Linked DNA regions of Caenorhabditis elegans. The protein of the gene in region 3 purifies or fractionates together with the protein of the main gene of each other region. This does not show direct contact. Each region holds a gene or a part of one and is shown on either strand. Other genes may lie near its edges.

Region 1 (5,670 bases), on a different chromosome or scaffold from region 3:
TATAAAAACATGTATTTAAATACATTAGTGACGTCACAAATGTATTTAAATACATTTTGCTACATTACTTGAATAACCCCATTAATAAATAATAATTGCAAGATATTTTTCCACATTTTATCAGTTTATATCTTGCAATTATTATTCATTAACATTTTACTTCTGAAACTCAATCGACAAAATTTTTAGTGGTTTTTGGTAAAATGACTCTGTGTAACAAATAATTGGTATTTTGCACTGAAAAGTAATGCAGAAAAAATAAAAAATATTTCTAATCATTTTGTTAGTTGAACATTTGTTTCCTGGATGTTTATTTTTCAAGATACGCCAGTTTGAAGATACGCAATTTCGTGAGTTCAAGAAGTTATTTGGTAAACCGAGCCTGGGCTTGCAACTTTTGCTGGCAAGTATTATTTTAATGAGAATTTAGAATGTTGTATTGCCTAACTATTGAATTGTAGAAAATTATAGTATACTTCTACAACGGTTCAATAAAACAATAGTGATGTACTGTGGGCACACTCAGAAAAACGCTTAGTAGTCTAATTAGATTTCGACCATATTGGATTAGATTTGTTTTCTAATGAAATATGGAGGAAATCTAATCTAGCATGGATTTCTAATCTAATATGGAGCAAATATAATGCAATATGGATTTTCTAAACAAATATGGTTGAAATCTCGTTGAATACGGTTGAAATCTAATTAGACGACTAAGCGTTTGTCTGAGCAGGTGTCACAGTGGATTTGTAGTCCAAATGACTGTCTGTAAAAACAACATTATTTTTGAGCTTCAAAACTAACTTGCAAGTAGGTCAAAACGTTCAGACTGAGCCAGTCTTACTCCACCCCCACTACCATCCTCACAAGTGAACGAATTCCGTCAAATAGGTATAACTTATTCATTTGTGCATTGAACATTTGCTGCAGCAATGCAAGTTCTTGATGATATAACTGCTGAACTAGCGAATCTAGATTATCTTCGTCAACGTTCCATCCGTGAAATACAAAATACATTGCGAAAACAAGAAGACATGGAATTAGATAAAGCTGCTGAAGTCATAGTAAATTATCAAGATCCAAGAGCACACTATATTTTAATAGTTCAGAAATAACTTAGGTTTCCATTTCACTTTTTTTCTGGAAATATCCTTTATTAACCAGACACGAGGTTTTAGGGTTTTTGAGCCAACCCCGGTCTTGACACGACAGATTTTTGTACAATACGAACAGGCGTGCGCCTTTAATGAGTACTGTAGGTTCAAACTTTCGGAAATTTCATTTATTTTTCATAGTTTTTTGATTAATTGTTTTTTAGCTAATCGAATAAACAAAAAAAAACGATTGTTGTAAGACGAGGAAAAGTTCAATGTTCTCACAAGTGAAAGAGCTCCGTCAACTAGGTATAACTTATTCATTTGTACATTGAACATTTTGCAATTTCTAACGAAAAATACAGGGCCTAAAATTAGAAACTATTTTGATCAAAAGAAAGTTCATGGAAAAGCTCAGTTATTGTCCATTGAACCCAACGTGTACTCAATATCATCAAAAGAAACATCTTTACCAAAAAGCGATCTATGTCATCATTTCTGACTGGCCATCTGCTTTTTCTTCGTCTACCACTGCTGGCAGAATGATGATAAAGCATGTCGTGTCTATATGCCTGCGTCTAACATTGTATGTTTTCTTTTCTACTTGTCTTCTTCATCGATTCCCTCTGCGTCTCTTTCCTCTTTCTGATGTAATCGCAAAATTTACAGGAATCACATTTTGATTCCGCCCCGATTTGTATATAAATTGACTGTGAAACATACGTTTTTACATTGTTTACTAATTTTTTAATTCCTTTATAAACTCAAAACCTTTTTCAATCCGATATAATTTCAGGTGAAACATGGCTTATTTGGAGCGTGCCTATTTTGGTCTTCAGTGCTTCTGGGGAGAATCTGCATGGGCGAAGCTGAAAGGAGTTGTGGTGACACGAGTTGGATATGCTGGAGGAAAACAACCAAATCCTACTTATAAGAATATCAAGGATCATACTGAAATCACAGAGATCACTTTTGATCCAAAAGTTATTGAATACTCAAAGCTCACCAACTTCTTTTGGAAGCATCACAACCCAGCTGAAAGGAGAAAGAAGGTAATTTTCGAATTGACTTTAAAGTTTCAAATATTGTTCTACTGGAAAACGTAACAAAAAGTAAGTTCTAATTGATTATAATTTTTTAGGTTAAAATACATTTAAACTTCAAATTAATTCGTTTCAATTTCAGCAATACCAATCTGCGATTCTCTACGTAAATGACGACCAAAAGAAAGTCGCTGAAGAAACTTTGAAAGTAGCAAAGGACAAGCATGGAGACATTGAAACATATATTGAGCCATTGGACAAGTTCTATCAAGCTGAAGATTACCATCAAAAATATTGGTTCCGTCAAAAGAAGATTCTTTTCGATGAACTGTCTCTTCTTGATACTCAAGTTGCTGAAGGAGAACTTGCCACAAAATTGAACGCATATTGTGCTGGCTTCCAGGACTTCCACGATCTTGAGCGTCTTGCAAAAGAGTACGGATTAAAGGATTCTTTTGTCAATAAGGTGAAGGACTATGCTCTGTCAGGAGGAGATCCAAGAAACTGTCATGCTTAAATTATATGAATGTACAATCGAACTTTTATCAGGTTTTCAATGAATTTTATTTTATCACAGATTCTTGTGTTTGTTTGTTTAACAAAGGAAGATATTTGAATATTATACTGCACTTTCAGATTGGTATTTAGATTCCAACTTTGTGCGAATATTGTTGCATATCATATTAAATGGATTTGAAGAGTTGTTGTCATCATAAAGCACATTGCTCAAAATTGCGTAGGCTGTAACTTGAACATATATGAAACGTTGAATAATTCTGAAAATCTCACCATTATTACCATACAAGGCTTTGAGCCCAATTTCACTGTTAGCTAAAGTACCAATACATACAGCAGCTTTGTACCGTATCCTTCTACAGTAATCCGCATGGATTGGATGGGTAAGGGATAAAAATTCAAGAAGCACTGGAATTGCATTTTGATCAACCATTTGATGATCTAAATGACGGGCGGCAAGGCGAGAAAAGGCTGTAACAATTTGTTCCTGGACGAAGACAGTGGCACAATTTTCTCGATTATAAGCAGATATCAGACGACGAATTGAATTATTTCTGAAAATATTTACATTTACATGTTGCAAAAAACTTTTCAAAATCCCAAAATAGAGAGCGATCCTATAAATTTTCAGATTTTTTTTTAAATTCGAGACTGTTTTCAGTTTTATCTGGTAGGCTGGTTTACCGTTTTGTAGTTTCTAGGTAACTTGTAGCAATTGCTACAAAAGTTAGAACAAGGAATTCGCCTTGAAATTTTGCATTCATTTTCTACAATTACGTGCTATAGCTCAATTTAATGTTGGTTCAAATTTAATTTTGTACTGAGCTTTTGCGAAAATAGTTAAATGCTTAAAATTCAACAAACCTGTACATAATATCAACTCCATTTGGGTTCTGAAGTGTCACATTGTTCAATGCAGCGGTTGCCAAAAGCAAAGAGTCACCTGATTTACATTGATCTATTAGATCTGAAATTAATTATTTAGTCTCCAATTTTTATATTTAAATTGGTTACCCAAAAGTCTGGATATAATTGGTTCCACATGATTTAACCGAATGAATGCAGACTGAGGATTGGTAAGTTGTGTCAGAATACCAGCTGCCTCGACGGAACAGATTGATGAGGAAATGGATAAAAGTCTATCAATAACCAAATCCAAGCCTCCTTGCTGAAATTAATCAATTTGTATTGATTGAATTTGTATTGAATTTGTATTGAAAAGTATTGATTATAAAATATATCTAATTACCGTGAGCAAAGCAAGTGCTCCTTTTGAAACTCCACATAACACTGCCAATGTTCGAAGTAAAAATCTAAGAGTGTTCTCCTGTGGTTGATCATTCTTCATAATTCGAATAACTGATGAGATGCATCCTTTTTGAATTGCTTCAATACAAAGTTCATCTCCAAATAAACAAATATGAATAAGATGCTCTAAACAAATAGGTGTCAGACGATCTTTTCCATTACTTTCACATAGATTCTTGGATATTATCTGAAATTAAATATTTGAATGAATTGAATAGTTAAACTAAAAGTAACTTACCCTCACAAACACCAAAAGTACTGATTCTATAGACTTTCTGAGAAGAATCGCAAAAAAGTTTGTCATATTATTCATGTCAATTATTCCTTTATCTCGATTTCTGGAAAAACGTAAGGTAACATTTAATTTGTTTCAATAATAGATTTACTTTTGTAACTCTTGAACATTCATTTTTAATCGAGCCATTTCAGTCTTTGGAAGATAATTTGTACATGGAGATGATTCAAGCAGTTGGATGAACACAGAAGACTTAAATATTAACTTTTGTAACTTAATTCAGTATGCACAAAATACCTTTGCCAACAAATCTCTGCAAGTTGCTGGATCCAGAGCTGAAGAAAGAAGAGTATACAAAGCAGATGATGTTCTGAGAACATGATCCATTGTACCTGAATTTTCTCTTTAAAAATTCAATTTCCAAATAATGACTACTGACTAGCCATTCTCGCATAGCTTGGCATCCCTGTATCATCATCATCTTTACTTTCTTGTCGAGTTGAACAATTTGATCTTCGTTCGATTTGATCTCCGGAACATTGTCCAGAGTCGACACTTGTGATGCTATCCGAACGAGTACTGTATGGAGATCGGAGAATTGTATTTGCGCTGTCAGTGCTCATGTCTATTCTGTAATTGCAAAATTATTTTATCTTTAATGTTAAAAATAATTATTTAGTACCTGTTCATTGCCTGTTGAACATGTGCTCCATTAACAGTTATTGTGTTTGCTCTTGAAGAAGTTGGAACTGGTGGGGCCGGAGACAAAATTCCATTTCTTTGTGGTTGCACACTAGCTGAAAAAATTCAATTTTTCCAGCAAAAGATAACGAAATAAAAATTACTCACATTTCATAGAATTCCGTCGCAAAACCTGAAACTGTTCATACGACGGAGGCGCTGTTTTAGGAGTTGGTGTTCGACAACCAGATGGAGAGTTGCTCTTTTGGCTCAGAGCTCGTGAAATGTTTCCTCGGAAGCCGGGCAACTTGATCTGAATGGTTCAACATGTGTTGCCAATCAACGAAGCAATTAAGATAAAATTTAAGGGGTGGTGAAGGGATAGAAAACGAGAAAAAACGAAGGAATAAAAGAAAGTGAACTCACATTTCGAATTATTGCATCCTCGGTGTCCGTTGGGCAAGACTCTATAAAAACTCGAGTTTGAGAAACAGGACGGAAATGTTCAAAACTTGAAAGCATTTTTATGCCGCAAGTTTTCCCAGTGCTCTAGGGAAAGTTTAAGGAAAAGAGAGTTCATAAAATTTATGTTGGGAGTCAACTTTTTGTTTCTTGATTCCTTTTTTTAAGTTGCATTGTTTTCTATCTAGTCCAGATGAATTCAAGAAAAAATCGTTAAAATTGTATTGCGCAAAAATTGAAAAAATGATACTGCCTAAAATCCAGAATAATTTCATTTTTGCAAGGTATCAAGTTTCTTTCTTTCTGAAAAATTTAAGGGCATTTGACGTGT
Region 2 (5,337 bases), on a different chromosome or scaffold from region 3:
GCATAATTAAACCAACATCGCATCTTTCTGGACCCGGACACAACATCCCGTGATTTTCATTTGCAGAGTGGAAAGCATAATATGATTGTTTATAACAATCACTGATTAATTTTGAGTATGTCATGTTGATAGGAAGATTACGTAGATGTCGTCTGACTGATGACTTCCAGCTCATTCTGAATTTTGTTTTCAGAACAGCTGATGGATTGATCAATGATACCTGTTAAAGTCCTTTTCAATCATCTTGATGTTCTTATTAGATATCAATGGTTTGTCATTGTCTAGACCAGTTGATGGATTGTATTTGGGTTCCTCTTCATTTTTGGATTTCAATCCGTCTAGCTGAAAAAGGAAGCAGGGTCTTTATGTGGTAATTGCTTTGGATCAAATTATGTGTTATCAATGAGGACTACACTTTGAGAGTGGAGCATCGCCAATCTGGATTTGTTAAAATATACTGAAAAGGGGTTTGTTTTTATGTTACCAATTCAATATGTTTCAGATGGGTTATAGAATTGAATTCAGGCTTCACGGCCAATTTTTTCAGATTTTTCTGTGGCCAATGAATCCACGTATTGTTGATTTTTGAGGGGATTGCAATCATTTTTCCAGTTTCGGTTTGTTGTTCATGTTTTATATTTCGAAGAACATGTTCAATCGAAAAAACATTTGCTCGTTTATCTGAAAAGTTCTGCGTTTATTAATTAATAGAAAGACTTCCAATTGAATCGATTTTTAGTGATTTTCGTTTTTGGTACTCGTCTTTTTGGCAGCCCTTTCAAGATCGTAGAGTTTCGAATATGCAAAAATTATCTATTTTTTAAACAATTGTTTTTAAATTCCAATTTTTAAGTTGGTAATTGACCAAAAGTTTGACTGAAAATTGTGTTAAATTTGAAATCTTTTGAAGTGTTAAACATAAAGAAACCTGACAGTCCGTGAAATATTAATAGTAAAAGATAGTCCAGCAACTAACTCACATGCTTTTATTCTTGTATTTTCTTTTGAATACGTGAAATATGCAACTGTTGGGTGTTCAGAAGCTAGGTATCGAAACTCGCTGGCATAATTGTCAGCTACACGAGGAATAATTAGATCATCTAGATCTACAAATGCTACGAATTCAGAAGATTCCTGGAAATTTATAAAAATGTCGACTTTATTTTTCAGATATTTTTGATTTGTGAAACAAAAAAAGCGACTTTATGTGTAGATGAACAGTTTTTTTAATTGATTGATTTTGACAGATTATTAGGAAGAATAATTTTTAAAGTTATATAACTTTAAACAATCGTTACCTTATATCTCAAAAGACAATCCGTCTGTGCAGCAGCTTGACTTCTAAACTCAACATTTAAATTTGGATTAAAATCTTGTTCATCTCGATTTAAGAGGTTTATCCTATTCCATGGCTTCAAAGTTGCATATCCCTCTTGCTCGTAAACTCTCAAAATTTCGAGCATTGGGGAAACAATGCTCCGAATATACAGATGCATGTGAGCACCGAATATTTTATATACATGAAGAGAAACAAGAAGATTGTGCCAATTTTCAGCAGCGAAGAGTGGAGAAATGCACATTACAACAGGTTTAGGTTCCGAAGAAACAACTTCGAATGGAATCTGATAAAAATGGGATATTATACAATTTTCAAAAAGTAACTGACAGCTCAAAAACTCACCGGCGCATGATTTCCACCTAAAGAAACCAATAAAAGCGACGGATTTAGAACTATTTTTGCAGTTGCAGTCATTGCAATCCATTTACACGCATCATGGATTGTTACTCTGAAGTTTGAGAGATTGAAGAAGTATGCTCCTTCAAAAGAAAATATTAGCAGAACTACATTTGCCTCAAATTTCGTATTTCCAACTCCCGATAATCTTCATGTTTGAATTTTCTCCAAAATGAGAACTGCAAAACCAATAAATTAATCGCTCCGCCCACGTTTGATCCAATCAGCGACTTTGAGATCCGTCTGATTTGTCTTGTAGTTCTCATTTTGGAGGAGAATCAAACAAGGAAGTTGGTGAGTTGTATAAAAATCTCGGATATCTGACGGCCTTATAATTTTTCTTAAATCGACAGATGCATCTGCAGATGGTAGATGACCGAGATTCGCATATTTTCTCGGCCACTCTTCCATTTTCTCGATTTACCATCTACTTTGTATTGTTTTATGTATTTTTCAGAAATAGCCAGAATTGTTTCCAGGTTTGAAAAACATCTATTAGGTACATGGAACTTTTATGCAAAAATTTCAAAAAAAACCAAGGTATTAGATTATTCTGCCTTTAGTTTTGAACGGTTTAATCATAGGAAATAGTTGATTACCGATCCTGCAAAATTTCAGAATAAGCTCCGCCCCTTTCTTGGTTTTTTTTTTGAATTTTTTCATTGAATTTTCAAATCTTATTTAATTGGTGCCGAAAAGCTCAAAAACTTCGAATCAACACAAAAATAAGAAATTAAATACACAAACCTTTCCAATTCAGCAGATGTCATAGCTCGACTCGTGTCATTTATGCCCAAAAGTTCAAGATTTTTAACTTTTTCCAAAACTTCAAAATCAGCAGTCATCAGAATAACCATTGAAGAATCTCCGAGACTTTTTGATTTATTATAATAAAATGCAGAATAAATGAATATATCATAAGGTGCCGAATGAAATACTTCTTCATTTTCAAGATCTGGTGAATCGATTCGACTGGAAATTTATCGTTTCAATCATTTTTGAACGGTGATAATTTTTAACTATCAATACTTACATAAATTGAAGTAAGACTGCCGTTACAAAAAATAAAAACGAAAAAAGTAATACCACAGACAGAACCGATGGAATTATTCGTGGAAGCATTTTGGCTGATCTGACGCACTTGTTTTGTGTCCTAACGCGTCCCGCAAGTTATCTGAACATCTAATCTCGAACTACCTTCAATGAGTGCGACGGTCAAAATGAGGAGTAACAGTTTTCATTAATTTAGCAATAAAATAATAAGGCAAAAAATTTGAAAATCAAAGACAAAACAAATGAATTGAGTGGGGGAAATGATGGAAGATTTTGAATGTGAAGGAGCTGCTCGTCCGGATTTTTTCAGCTCAGTTTTTCTGGACAGGTAATAGGTCTGAATATAAAACATGATAGTGTGTGATGAATGGGGAAGAAAAAAACAATCAGAAATAAGGGGAGAATTGGCGGTAAACGAGGAAAACCAGAGTAGACATATAAGATGAAGCTGTGGATTGTTAAATTGCAATTGCAAAAACATAGACGATTGCAAGCATTGTTTTGGCTTCCCAACGGTACATGTACGAGGCTGAAAATGAGATTTTTTGAGCTATAAGTTGAATACCAACTTTCAAAATCAGAACTTTGTGAGTAATAAATTTATTTCCCTCTTTATTATTTAATGTTTTAATACAAAATGTTAACTCACAATCCGTGACTTTATTCCAGTAGGAAATCGTGCTAACATTGAGACCGGAACCGCTCGAGATCTGAAGGAACGACGAGGTAACCACATATTTGTATGGTTTTCCCGCTGCCACTAGCTTCTTCGTTATTTGTTCGACGGCCTTCTGATTCCACTGAACACTGTCCTTGTGGGTATACTGGGTGCTTGCGCCTACAACCTCGTCGAGTACCTGAAAGATTATTGGATTACGAGAATGTGAATAAACAATAATCAACTCAAAAATTATAGTTTTTCAAAGAATTAATACAGTAGACATATAAAATATCGGTACCTGCTTGATGATCATGTGAACGTCCTCCTCTGCCAAAGCCATGATGTTGAGCTTGTGAGAGCTGAATATTGAGTTTAATTATTAAAAAAGAGACAGTATAAATAAATCAAGTGCGCTCAAACGGCAATTGAAGTATCAGAAATTAAGATATAAACATCTTTAAATAATTTATTCTCATAAAACGAGAATACATACGACTAGAAAATAAAATCAAAAAACTAATATTAAATTGGAAATACAGATAATGCATGTTATGGTAGGAATGTTATGTCACAATATGTGAGTTTTGAAAATAAATAGTTAAATATATATTTAGGCTTCCGGCTCGAAATCGACATGAGTGAGGCATGCAGATAAATCGCGTCCGAGTTCAGCTGTTCCAGCGCAGAGAACTTTTCTTGACATGACGTCAAATGGGGATCCAGTTGGATCAGTGACAACACCTCCGGCTTCTGTGACAATGATAGAAGGAGCAGCAACATCCCAAGCGTGAATCCCGTATTCAACATATCCATCGCAACTTCCTTGTGCAACCATCACCATGTTGATCGCGGCGGAGCCAAACGAACGGTGTCTGAAAAAAAAACTTGGATTTTTTTCAAATAACTTTTATTATGTATAACAATATTAAAAATAATAATATCACATCATCCTCGTGATTTTTTTCATATTAAACTTTGTCCATCCAACATCTAACTTTTCCATCTTATCCATTTCTCAATTTTAGTAAAACTTTCAAAAAATTTGCAAACGCACAGTTCAAGAAAGTCACTAGATTTCGACAAGAATATAAAAAATATTTATAAGTACCCGTGACATTGTTTGTCGAACATAACAGTCTTGTAAGAATCAACAAATGATTTCTGCATAACAGGAGATCGAATTGAGCCAAGTTGAAGTATGAGCACACTTTCCGCAATGACTGGAATTTGCAACGTTTCTATGTGAATGTAAATAAAATTGAAAGTAAAACGTGCAAAACCAGCGCGGGAAGTGTGGAGGTATATTTTTTGTAAAAAAGTAATCAATTTTAGACCAAAAAATTAAAACAAACCCTCGCACACCAGCCATCACTTGATTTCGCATGTTTGACTGGGCAATGTCGAGCCAGCGATCGCCGAACTGAACACGATTATGCAGACCGAGAGATTGACAGAGAACTCCCTTTGAAAGCACTTCAAAAAGCAGGGTGCATGACAAGAAAAGTGCAATTACTTACATTGATTCTTTGATGCTCGGATTGGAAATCCATTTTTGAAAGCTCCCTTTCCGAGTTGAGCGAGATAAAGTTCATTAGTGATTGGATTGTATACGATTCCAGCACGAATTTGTTTTTTGATTGCAAGTCCAACGCAGATTGCGATCATAGGGATTCTATAATAACATAAGAATTTGTTTTTCGAGAAAAATTTGAGTCCAAATTAGAAATTAAATAACGCGATTTGCCATTATTTGAAGAGTCCGATTTAAAAAAAATCTTACCTATGAACAAAGTTAGTAGTTCCATCAATCGGATCAATAATCCATGTTGGTGCATCAGTCCATTCAATTTTCGCACCTCCGGCTACAGATTCCTCGCCAATGAATCTG
Region 3 (9,083 bases):
GTTGATGGAGTTGATTGTGTGGGCTGAAAAGACTATTTCAGTTATGGAAAACTTGCTTGTTAAACTAACAAATGAAGGTGCCATAGCTGGGTGTAAATTCCAACCAGGAAACAATAATGGTTTAGCTTCCATGGTGGAGCCATTTACATGTGATGACATTGGCACACTATTTGGAAGATTTCTACGCTTGCATGGCAATCCGTTCATCCTATCAGAAACGGATCTCCGTTTTAAAGTTGAGGCAGGAATTTCTCTTTGGTGATCTATTGCTCTCAATGACGAAGTAAGTGAATTGATTGGAGCAACGTTTCCCAAAGTAGCAATGTGTGGAATACTTGGGAACGACATTGTTGGAGGCACTGTGCTCGCCAAAGGAGTTGTAGAAATGAAAGCCGGTATTGTTGATGGAGTTGATTGTGTGGGCTAAAAAAAGAGTTTTCCAAATCGATAGTTTTTTTTTTCAAAAAATTTACTATTGTGGAATCTGGTCGCAGAAGTTCATCAATAGAGAATCCCGCACGCTTTCTGTTTGAAGAGTTGAAGGTATCATTTGTTCCTTTTTGATCTAGAGTTGAAGCTGGAACTGTTTGACGTGTCAGTGTGATATATGGAGACGGCAAGGCGGTAGGTGTTGCATGAGTAGTGAGAGCCTTCACATCCTCTACTTGAAGTTTTTCTTTGAACTCTGGCGAACAAGTTGTTAACATGTCCACACTTTGCGGTCGATCAATCGATGCATCCATCTCACTTGCGATAGTTGTTTTTCTGTTAGTTAAGAAGGAAAACGACAAGGAAGTGTCTTCACAATCTAACTCGATTTCTGGAATATCTTCTGTCCAAGGAAAATCGGCACTTTTCAACAACGAAATCCAGGCAGCAGAAAGTAGACGTGGTATTTGTGAGTCGGGCGCGAAGTATACCACAATTCTTTTCATTTTTTCCTTGTCTGCATCTGCTGCGTGTTGAGAAAAGGTGATGAAAAGCAGGTGATGGATTGCTACGATTTTGTTCCAAATCTGAAAAAATAACACGCTTCTGTTGCAGTTTTATTTGAGGAATGTAAAAGTTTATCATTGTTTTGAAAATAAAATAAGGTAGAAAACCTAATCTTTTACCAAAAATTTGCTATAAAGTGTTGGGGTCAATTTTTGCGAAAACTTAGCAACATATGCTCTACATAGTTGTCCTAATTCATGTTTTAACTTACATATTTCTTCCGTTCGTTGATGTACTCCTGAAGCTGTTCTCCTTGGACCATCATTGTATTAATGCTCTGCCAACATACCCAGCAATCACTTTTCAATTGCTCCCGTACAATTCTGCGATTCAACTCGAGCTTTGACGATGCATAACGGGTTTTTTCCTTTGAAGAATTCATATTGTCCTTTTGGCTTGTGAGCTTGTGATATTGCTCGCGTAGTTTAAGCAGATTTTGGGCGTAAAAATTGGAAGGCTCTGTATGGTGGTCGACGAGCATGGCGGCTTGGCCTTTTTCTTGGAAACATGCCAAAAAATCATCAACATGTGGAATTTCACAATGAATTTTGTGAGGCGCATCGATATTTGTGTACTTGGAACAAATGTCTTCACACTCTTTGATCATGGATCTAATATTCACTTCCACTGTTTCCACGGACATCTCCTCGATAAATTGCTTGAATCTCCGTTCAATCGCTGTTATTTTGAAGAATAGTTTTTGGAAAGTGGCATATTCACGATTCCTTTCTCTATACTCTTTGCAGTCCTTCCTGTACCTCTTTTTGCGGTTTTCTTCGGACTCTGGCTCGGCTCTTTTATGACAAGATCTATGTTTTACACGCTTTAACAAGCTCCTGCGGTCAAAGATAGATATGTCGATCTTTTTAACTTTTTCTGCCAAACCTTTCATATTCTGAAAATGATAGTTTGACAATTCAGAAGCTTAAAGAAAACAAACTAACCAATAAATGATAACTTTCATTGTCAGGTTCAGAATTTCTCACGGATAAGAGATCCATTTGCTATTCACTTTCCAAGTTTGAATATTAAAACTGAAATTCGTTTGTTGTGTTGGTCAACAATTTGAAGTAAAAAACAAAGAATTAATTATGCGGCAAGAACAATCGCACTTCAAAAAAAAACATTCGAATAGCATCATATCAAAATATTATAGAACAAGAGCCCAACAAAAAGTTTCAAAATGATTTGCAAGAACGGAAGCATATTCTCACTCACCGAACGCAGTTATAAAGACAATAAAATCACTGTCAAACGCGTGAAATGGCATGGACCATAGAATGCGCGAAACACCGCCGCTGTCAACAACAACAGTCTTCTAGAATTGCAATGGGATAAGCGAGAGAGTGTGAGGAAACGGGAGGCGTAGCGCGCGATATTAAATTATTTTACCGCGGTGTGCGGAGGGCACTGTCTTATGGACAGGGCGGAAAGGACGGCAACTGAAAATAAGAGGTAGGCAAAAAAGTTGACGGCAGTAATTTGGTCAAAGATCTCCTTTGTTGCTCAGGACAGGAGCTAAACCTCTTCCCAAAATAACTCCAAAATACTTTCAGATTTTACTGATCCGCACAAGCCATTAGAATCATAAAAAAAACAGTTTTAAGGTATTTTTAAAGACCTCACACGCATGGCAAAACACACAGGAAATTTTCAGATTAAAATTAAACGAGATGAAACAAAAGTTCACATTTTTTGCAGTGAAGTGTTCTCCGTAAATCCTTCTCTTGTCTGATAAAAAATTTTAGTGTCCAGAGATATGAAATGATATTTTTCTAGATGCGTTTGTGAAAAAAAACCTGCCCAATTTAGTTTTGAGACACTTATGTTTAAAAGCTAATGTTTGCAAAAAGGCGTTGTTTCTGAAACTTTCCGATCCCGTGGAAATGAGCTTTACTGAACCGTCACTAACTGGAAAATGTAAAAAATACATTGGTGATTATTTCGTCCGATTAAACAGTTTGACCTATCTAAAATTAAATTTCACAAAGATAGGTAACTTCAAAGCCAACTTTATTCCGCAAAATATAGTTTTAATTCAAGAATAATTGTCTCGAAAGTAAATTGAGCAACATTTTATTTAAAATTCGGAATTTCCAATTGATAAGCGTTCAGAAAATGGATCACTCATTCTATATTTCTTTTCACAGCATACGGTATTCCCTATTGAGAGGAAAATAAAAAAACTTCCACTCCCTATAGAAGACTAACAGGTTTTTGTGAAAAGTGAGAAAACACCGTTCATTAATCTGTAATTACGATGACCGTATAAAATTTATATTTTAAATTTCTTCAATGCGTTTTCATTTAAAATAGTATACGGTAAGCAAGTTTTCACTGCTAATTTTTGCACTACTCCATGTTCAAAAAGTCAGTTATTCCCCCATTCCACATGTTCTAGACTTGCTGGCAATTCTCCAAAAACCAAAGACGACTGTAGCATCAGAAATAGATAAAAGTGTTGAGGGGAATCACGCGTTTTTATAAACTGTGTCCTTAAGAACACTCCGTTGTTGAACTTTTTATTTGTGAAATTCAAATGTGAGTTAAGTGAAAACAGAACAGAATCAATAAAGTAGAAAACAAAGAAAACATAGAAAATTCAAATTTTCTGAGCCCGGTAATGTTGATAGTCAATATATGAATCGATTATTTAAATGAGTAAGTCCCTAGAAACAAATTGATTATAAAATTATCAGTTGACAGTCCTACAGTACCCTGAACTAATTGTGAAAGCATACGGTTTTTATTAAGATTGCGTTAGAACAATGAATGTTCATTTAATAATTTAATTACTTCTGACATTTTTGAAAAGCGTGATTTAAAAATGCTGCCATTAGTTTTTGCTGCTCTAATGCTCTCAAAAATGATGGGGTGAGTGAATCGATTGGGGCAACGTCTCCCGGAGCAGCAGTGAGTAGAACATTTGGATACGGCATCATTGGAGGCATTGTGCTCGTCGAAGGAATCGTAGGGATGAATGGGGGAATCATTGATGGAATTGATTGTGGTGGCTGAAATATAGAAGTTTTTGAAATGGACGAACATTTTCTCAAAAAAAACTTACCATTGGAAGTGCTTGGTAATTCACCATTGGGTACATCATTTGTCTAGATGGCATAATTGTCTCAGTGCGCTCTGCTCGATTGGGTTCATCAATAGTTACACGTTTGCCGGTTGGACAGGCCAACAAGTCACCAAATTCTTTACGTTTTAATGTCGAAGCTGGAACTGTTGGGAGTGTGAGTGTTCCGGATGGTGATGGCAGCGCCGGAGGAGTTTCTTGAGTCGTTGAGATCTTTCTATCTTGCACTTGAAGCTTCTCTCTAGGAGAAAGCGTTTGCTCTGGAGAAAGCGTTTGCGACATGTCCATACTTTGCGGTCGATCAATCGACATATCCATGTCACTTGCGATTGTTGTTTCGTTGTTAGATAAGAAGGTAGATGACGATGGAACTTCTTCATATTCGACTTTGATTTCTGGAATTTCTTCTGACCGTGGAGACTTGACAACATTTGGCATTGGATTCCAGACAACAGATAGGTGCCCTGGTGTTCTCGAAACTGGAGCAAAATATTCCACAATTCTTTCCATTTTTTCCTTGTCTGCATATTCTGGATATTTACAGAACATGGTGAAAATCTGGTGGTAGACAGCTAAGATGTTGTTCCATATCTGAAAGTACAAATTTTTTAGAAAGTTCTACTCATTCTAAAGATAACAACTCGTAAACAATAGTGTTCTTTGCACAGGAAAAACCTCGGTTTACGAACACCTAACAAGTTAGACTTACATCTTTCTTCAGCTCGTTGTTGTACTCCTGAAGTTGCTCTCCTTGGACCATCATTGTGTTAATGCTCTTCCAACATACCCAGCAGTCACTTTTCAACTGTTCCCTCACAATTCTCTGATTTAATCTGCTTTTTGACGACGCGTAATTGGTTTTGTCCTTTGAAGAATTCAAATTGTCCTTGTGGTCTGTGAGCTTGTGATATTGCTCGCGTAGTTTAAATAGATTTTCGGTGTACATATTCGGAGACTCTGGTCGATGCTCGAAAAGCATCGTTGCATGCGCTTTCTCGCGGAAAATTGCCAAAAAATCTTCAGCCTCGGGAATTCCAATATTAAATCTGTCGTTTGAATCCAAATTCGTGTACTTTGTTAGCATCTCTTGACAGTCTTTGATCATGGATTTAATCTTAACTTCCACTGTTTCCACTGACATCTCCTCGGTCAATTGTTTGAACCTCCGCATAATGGCTGTGATTTCAGAAAACAGCTTTTGACACGTGACAATTTCATCACGATTCCTCTTGGTATACTCCCTGGAGTTTTTGCTGCTCTCCTTTTTCCGGTGCTCTTCTGACACTGGTTCAGCTCTTTTGTGACAAGATCTTTGCTTTCTTGGGTTGAAAAGTCTTGTGCGGTCGAAGGCGGAAATGTCAATTTCTTTAACTTTATTAGTTAATTTTTTAATGTCCTGAAAAAATTTAGATATACTTAAGTACACTTGTAAAAAAGAACAACTAACCATGTTATGGTAACTATCACCTTCGGAATCTGAGCTTCTGACGGATAAGGCGGAACCTGAGTTTTCGCGTTTTAGGGAGCGCATTCTCTGAAAATTGAAATTTAGAATCACTAAGTCACTACGAAGAGAGTAAGAGAAATTGTCAAAAAAAAAGTGGAGAAGAAACGTCAAGAAATCTAAGGTCAGCAATGGGATAAAATGTGATAAGATTGCCTATATAAATACAATTATTTTATCAATCAATTCGGGGTGTTGTCTCGACCGAACACAACATGACAAATCGGATGAAAGTGATGACGTGACGGTCTGACAAATGTCATTTCGCAATTTGGGGAATTGTCATTGTCACATGCGTAACGGTCAGTTGGTGAATCAGTCAACGCCCACGCTGAGAGAGTGACAGTCACAAGTCGAAAACAAAGAGATAGAGAGAAGATAATGGAAACTTGTTTTATTGATCTGATTGATAATTGTGATTGGGGAAATTTTACTGTTTAATTTTTAAGTGACGTTTGAAAATGTTGTTTTAGTATTTTTTTCAACTTTATTTTTTCGAGACTTCTGTTTTTTATTTTGAGCTCAAAAGGTAATTTTTTTTAGCGAATTGATTTTGAACTATTAAAACTTGGCTCTTTCACGTTACTTTAGTATACATACTGTCATAGGAAATTTTAACTTCGTAAGAAAACAGTTTTTAGTTTTCTGAAAAAATGTAAATTGCTCATTTTTGGTTTTTTTTTGAAATTCAAAACAAACTACTATCATATGTCACAACTACTTATTAAAAATTGATTTCTCAAATTATTTGTAACCAAATTGATCAATGTTAATATATTGACTAATAGTAAACTTCAAGAAAAAACTAGCCTCTTAGTTAGAACAAAAAAATATTTTGAAAAATTAGGAAAACTAACTCCATTTGACGTTGACGTTTAAGACAACTAGAAAAAAACAAGCAAAACAAGCAAAACACCAAAACAAAAGTGACAACAAAAACCGATAAAACTGTTGCAATGTAAGCGTTGTATTGCAAGGAAAGAGAGAGTATGTAGGTCAACGCGTCATAAAATCAGCAGTGTTCGCATCAAATTCTTGCACACGGGAAGAATAGGAGGTCAGTTATGGTTTCTTTTGTGGTTCTTGTAACATTTACATATACAAGACAGACAAAAAAAAAGTGAAAGTTCTTTGCGGCATTGAGTCTTTCTAAAAGTTCATGGGACTTTCCCTTTGTCTCAATAACGACTGTGCCGACAGCTCAAACTTGGGCATGGAAAATACTAAAATGTTAAATTGAGAAACGTAATGGGTGGTGGTGTTGGAGTTACGAACTATATTAGTTGAATGTTTGCCAACTGGGTGATAAGAAGAAAAAAAAAGATAAGATGAGCCTATAGTGAGGCATTGAAAGACATTTATTAAATTAGCAACGAACAATGAACATTCCAGAGAAAAAACGCTTCTGTAAATGGGCGGGACACTTTCTGGGAAAGGTACCAAATTGGAAAAAGGCGGATCGATTGCTCCGCATGCGGTAGTTTCCCAAACAGGTGAGCAATGATCATGTGACGTTAATGTCACGCAAATGGTGTCGAAATTTCTAGACTGCCGTTATGTACGGTGTGCCAGATAAATTTTTTTAACACCACAAGTGCAAAAGTCCAATTGTACTTTAATCATTGCAATACTACTACACTTTATTTTATTTGAAGTGCAGGTAGATTGTGTTACGTTAACAGAGGAAATTCAAAAACTAGCACCTGTTCAAAATTAGTTCCCAGTTGAAAATTACTGTATTTTTCCGTTAGGACTGTTTGAAATTTTATGCAAACTTGCGAAAAAGTGTGAGTTTTTCAAATTCTCAATAAAACAGGGAACTTTAAAGAATTCTAATGTTGGAAAAGGGTCACTAATAAAGATTGTCAGACTAATTCTAGCCATGTAATATTACTGAAGTACTATGTATAGCTCATCTAGACGTTGAGACTAAACCATAAACTGACAATATTTTTGTTCACTTTTCTAGATCCGTTTATCCAAATTAATAGAAAAAAGTCGAGTTACAAAGTTATTGTTTTGATATACTGATAATTTTGTAAAAAGTCTCACAGTACCTCTATAGTACCACTTCCTCAATATTTTTTGAAATTCAGTTGAATTGACATTTGGAGTAACCGTATTAGCCAAAAAAAACATTGACTACTACTCTTGTTACAGTTGGCCTAAGGACCTTACTGTAACGTTGCCAACCGAAGCTGAACAACTGCGCTCATTCAAAAATATCACTGCAGTAAAACTGACTGACATCAATTAGAAAGTTTCGAATAAAAAGTACAACATTATCTGTAAATTTTTTGAGTCATTGGGAGTCACACCTAGGTTTAGGAGTTCTGGACATATTCTATAAGCTTACTCATTAGGCAAAGAGTCGCCCTTTAAATTATCAAAACGTGGAAATCATGCTGGTATAAAAACTAACATATGATATTCATGTGGACACTATTTATAAGCATGTGTTTTGAAATATCACATCAAAACTTCTAGAATTTTCTACGGCGTACTGTTTCATAGTAAGCAATTAGGTACTTGTTTACATCATATCAGGAAATTCAACAAACACGTTTACGCAGTACGGTAAATTAATGAGTTTTGATAAACTTTCTTTTCGAATTCGCATTACCATCTTTGCTGCACACACTGTTGACCGATCAGACAACAGCTAAGAAATTTTTGCAAAAATTATCATCTATTTAGAGTCAGCAAATTTTAAATTTCTTGGAAATCTCCGAAATGGCCACACCACGTTGTTATCAGTACATATGAAATTTTTATCGGAGTGCTTGATAGACATTAGAAAAATTTTACTTTTTGTATGAAAAAAGAAATCAAACTGGTATTTCGTAGTTTCGAAAAAAAAAAACAAATTTCAACAAAACGAACCGAGCAGCTATACAGTTTTGATTCATGAATATTTATATGGGAGATTTGGAGAATTCGGTTTTTGAATGCATTTTTTTTGGATACAACGTGGAATTTGAACAGAGTTGCAAAGAAGAAAAAAAGATGGTCTGGAAATTACAATAATTATTTTTAAAAGCACACTTGAAAGCAAAGTCGGAAAATAACTGGAACGCTTTTTGAAACTTTTTGTAATCACGTTTGGCGAATCACCATATATTTTTGTCAGTCCGCCCAGAAGTATATTTGTCACCCCCCCCCCCCCCCCCCCTTCGCCAGAAACCTCTTACAGTTTATTGGGAAACTTATAGTGATGAAATTTCCTATTAAAAAATGATCTAGAAACAAAATCTTCTAGAGATTTTTAAAAAAAGCTATCAAAGAAAAAAAAGGGAGTTTATATACATTGGTAGATTCTTTCAAAACTTTTTGGATACAACGTGGAATTTGAACAGAGTTGCAAAGAAGAAAAAAAGATGGTCTGGAAATTACAATAATTATTTTTAAAAGCACACTTGAAAGCAAAGTCGGAAAATAACTGGAACGCTTTTTGAAACTTTTTGTAATCACGTTTGGCGAATCACCATATATTTTTGT

The links. Proteins that work in one complex are often made in the same cells at the same time.
Region 1: the proteins of cnp-3 (region 3) and msra-1 fractionate together in Caenorhabditis elegans (co-fractionation; one large-scale study listed by BioGRID). This does not show direct contact.
Region 2: the proteins of cnp-3 (region 3) and dylt-1 fractionate together in Caenorhabditis elegans (co-fractionation; one large-scale study listed by BioGRID). This does not show direct contact.

Annotation. Positions count from the first base shown.
Region 1 is NC_003280.10:7,360,261-7,365,930, reverse strand, and holds msra-1 (peptide-methionine (S)-S-oxide reductase), read left to right. Parts: upstream 1-1,890; 5' UTR 1,891-1,897; coding exon 1,898-2,146; intron 2,147-2,279; coding exon 2,280-2,654; 3' UTR 2,655-2,711; downstream 2,712-5,670. Other genes in the region: insc-1 (Protein inscuteable homologue C-terminal domain-containing protein), read right to left, coding at 2,757-2,878, 2,927-3,207, 3,518-3,620, 3,668-3,821, 3,903-4,148, 4,200-4,299, 4,348-4,448, 4,494-4,588 and 4 more.
Region 2 is NC_003279.8:7,297,106-7,302,442, forward strand, and holds dylt-1 (DYnein Light chain (Tctex type)), read right to left. Parts: upstream 3,809-5,337; 5' UTR 3,790-3,808; coding exon 3,748-3,789; intron 3,646-3,747; coding exon 3,438-3,645; intron 3,318-3,437; coding exon 3,247-3,317; 3' UTR 2,960-3,246; downstream 1-2,959. Other genes in the region: BAH-4 (Glycosyltransferase family 92 protein F13G3.3), read right to left, coding at 17-176, 221-342, 485-681, 981-1,134, 1,299-1,622, 1,682-1,787, 2,483-2,707, 2,769-2,857; Inositol monophosphatase ttx-7, read right to left, coding at 4,060-4,321, 4,802-4,922, 4,967-5,121, 5,230-5,334.
Region 3 is NC_003284.9:17,132,496-17,141,578, forward strand, and holds cnp-3 (Calcineurin-interacting protein 3), read right to left. Parts: upstream 5,616-9,083; 5' UTR 5,613-5,615; coding exon 5,529-5,612; intron 5,478-5,528; coding exon 4,791-5,477; intron 4,673-4,790; coding exon 4,064-4,672; intron 4,011-4,063; coding exon 3,789-4,010; 3' UTR 3,505-3,788; downstream 1-3,504. Other genes in the region: K09E3.7 (BZIP domain-containing protein), read right to left, coding at 1-23, 70-423, 474-1,016, 1,208-1,891, 1,941-1,997.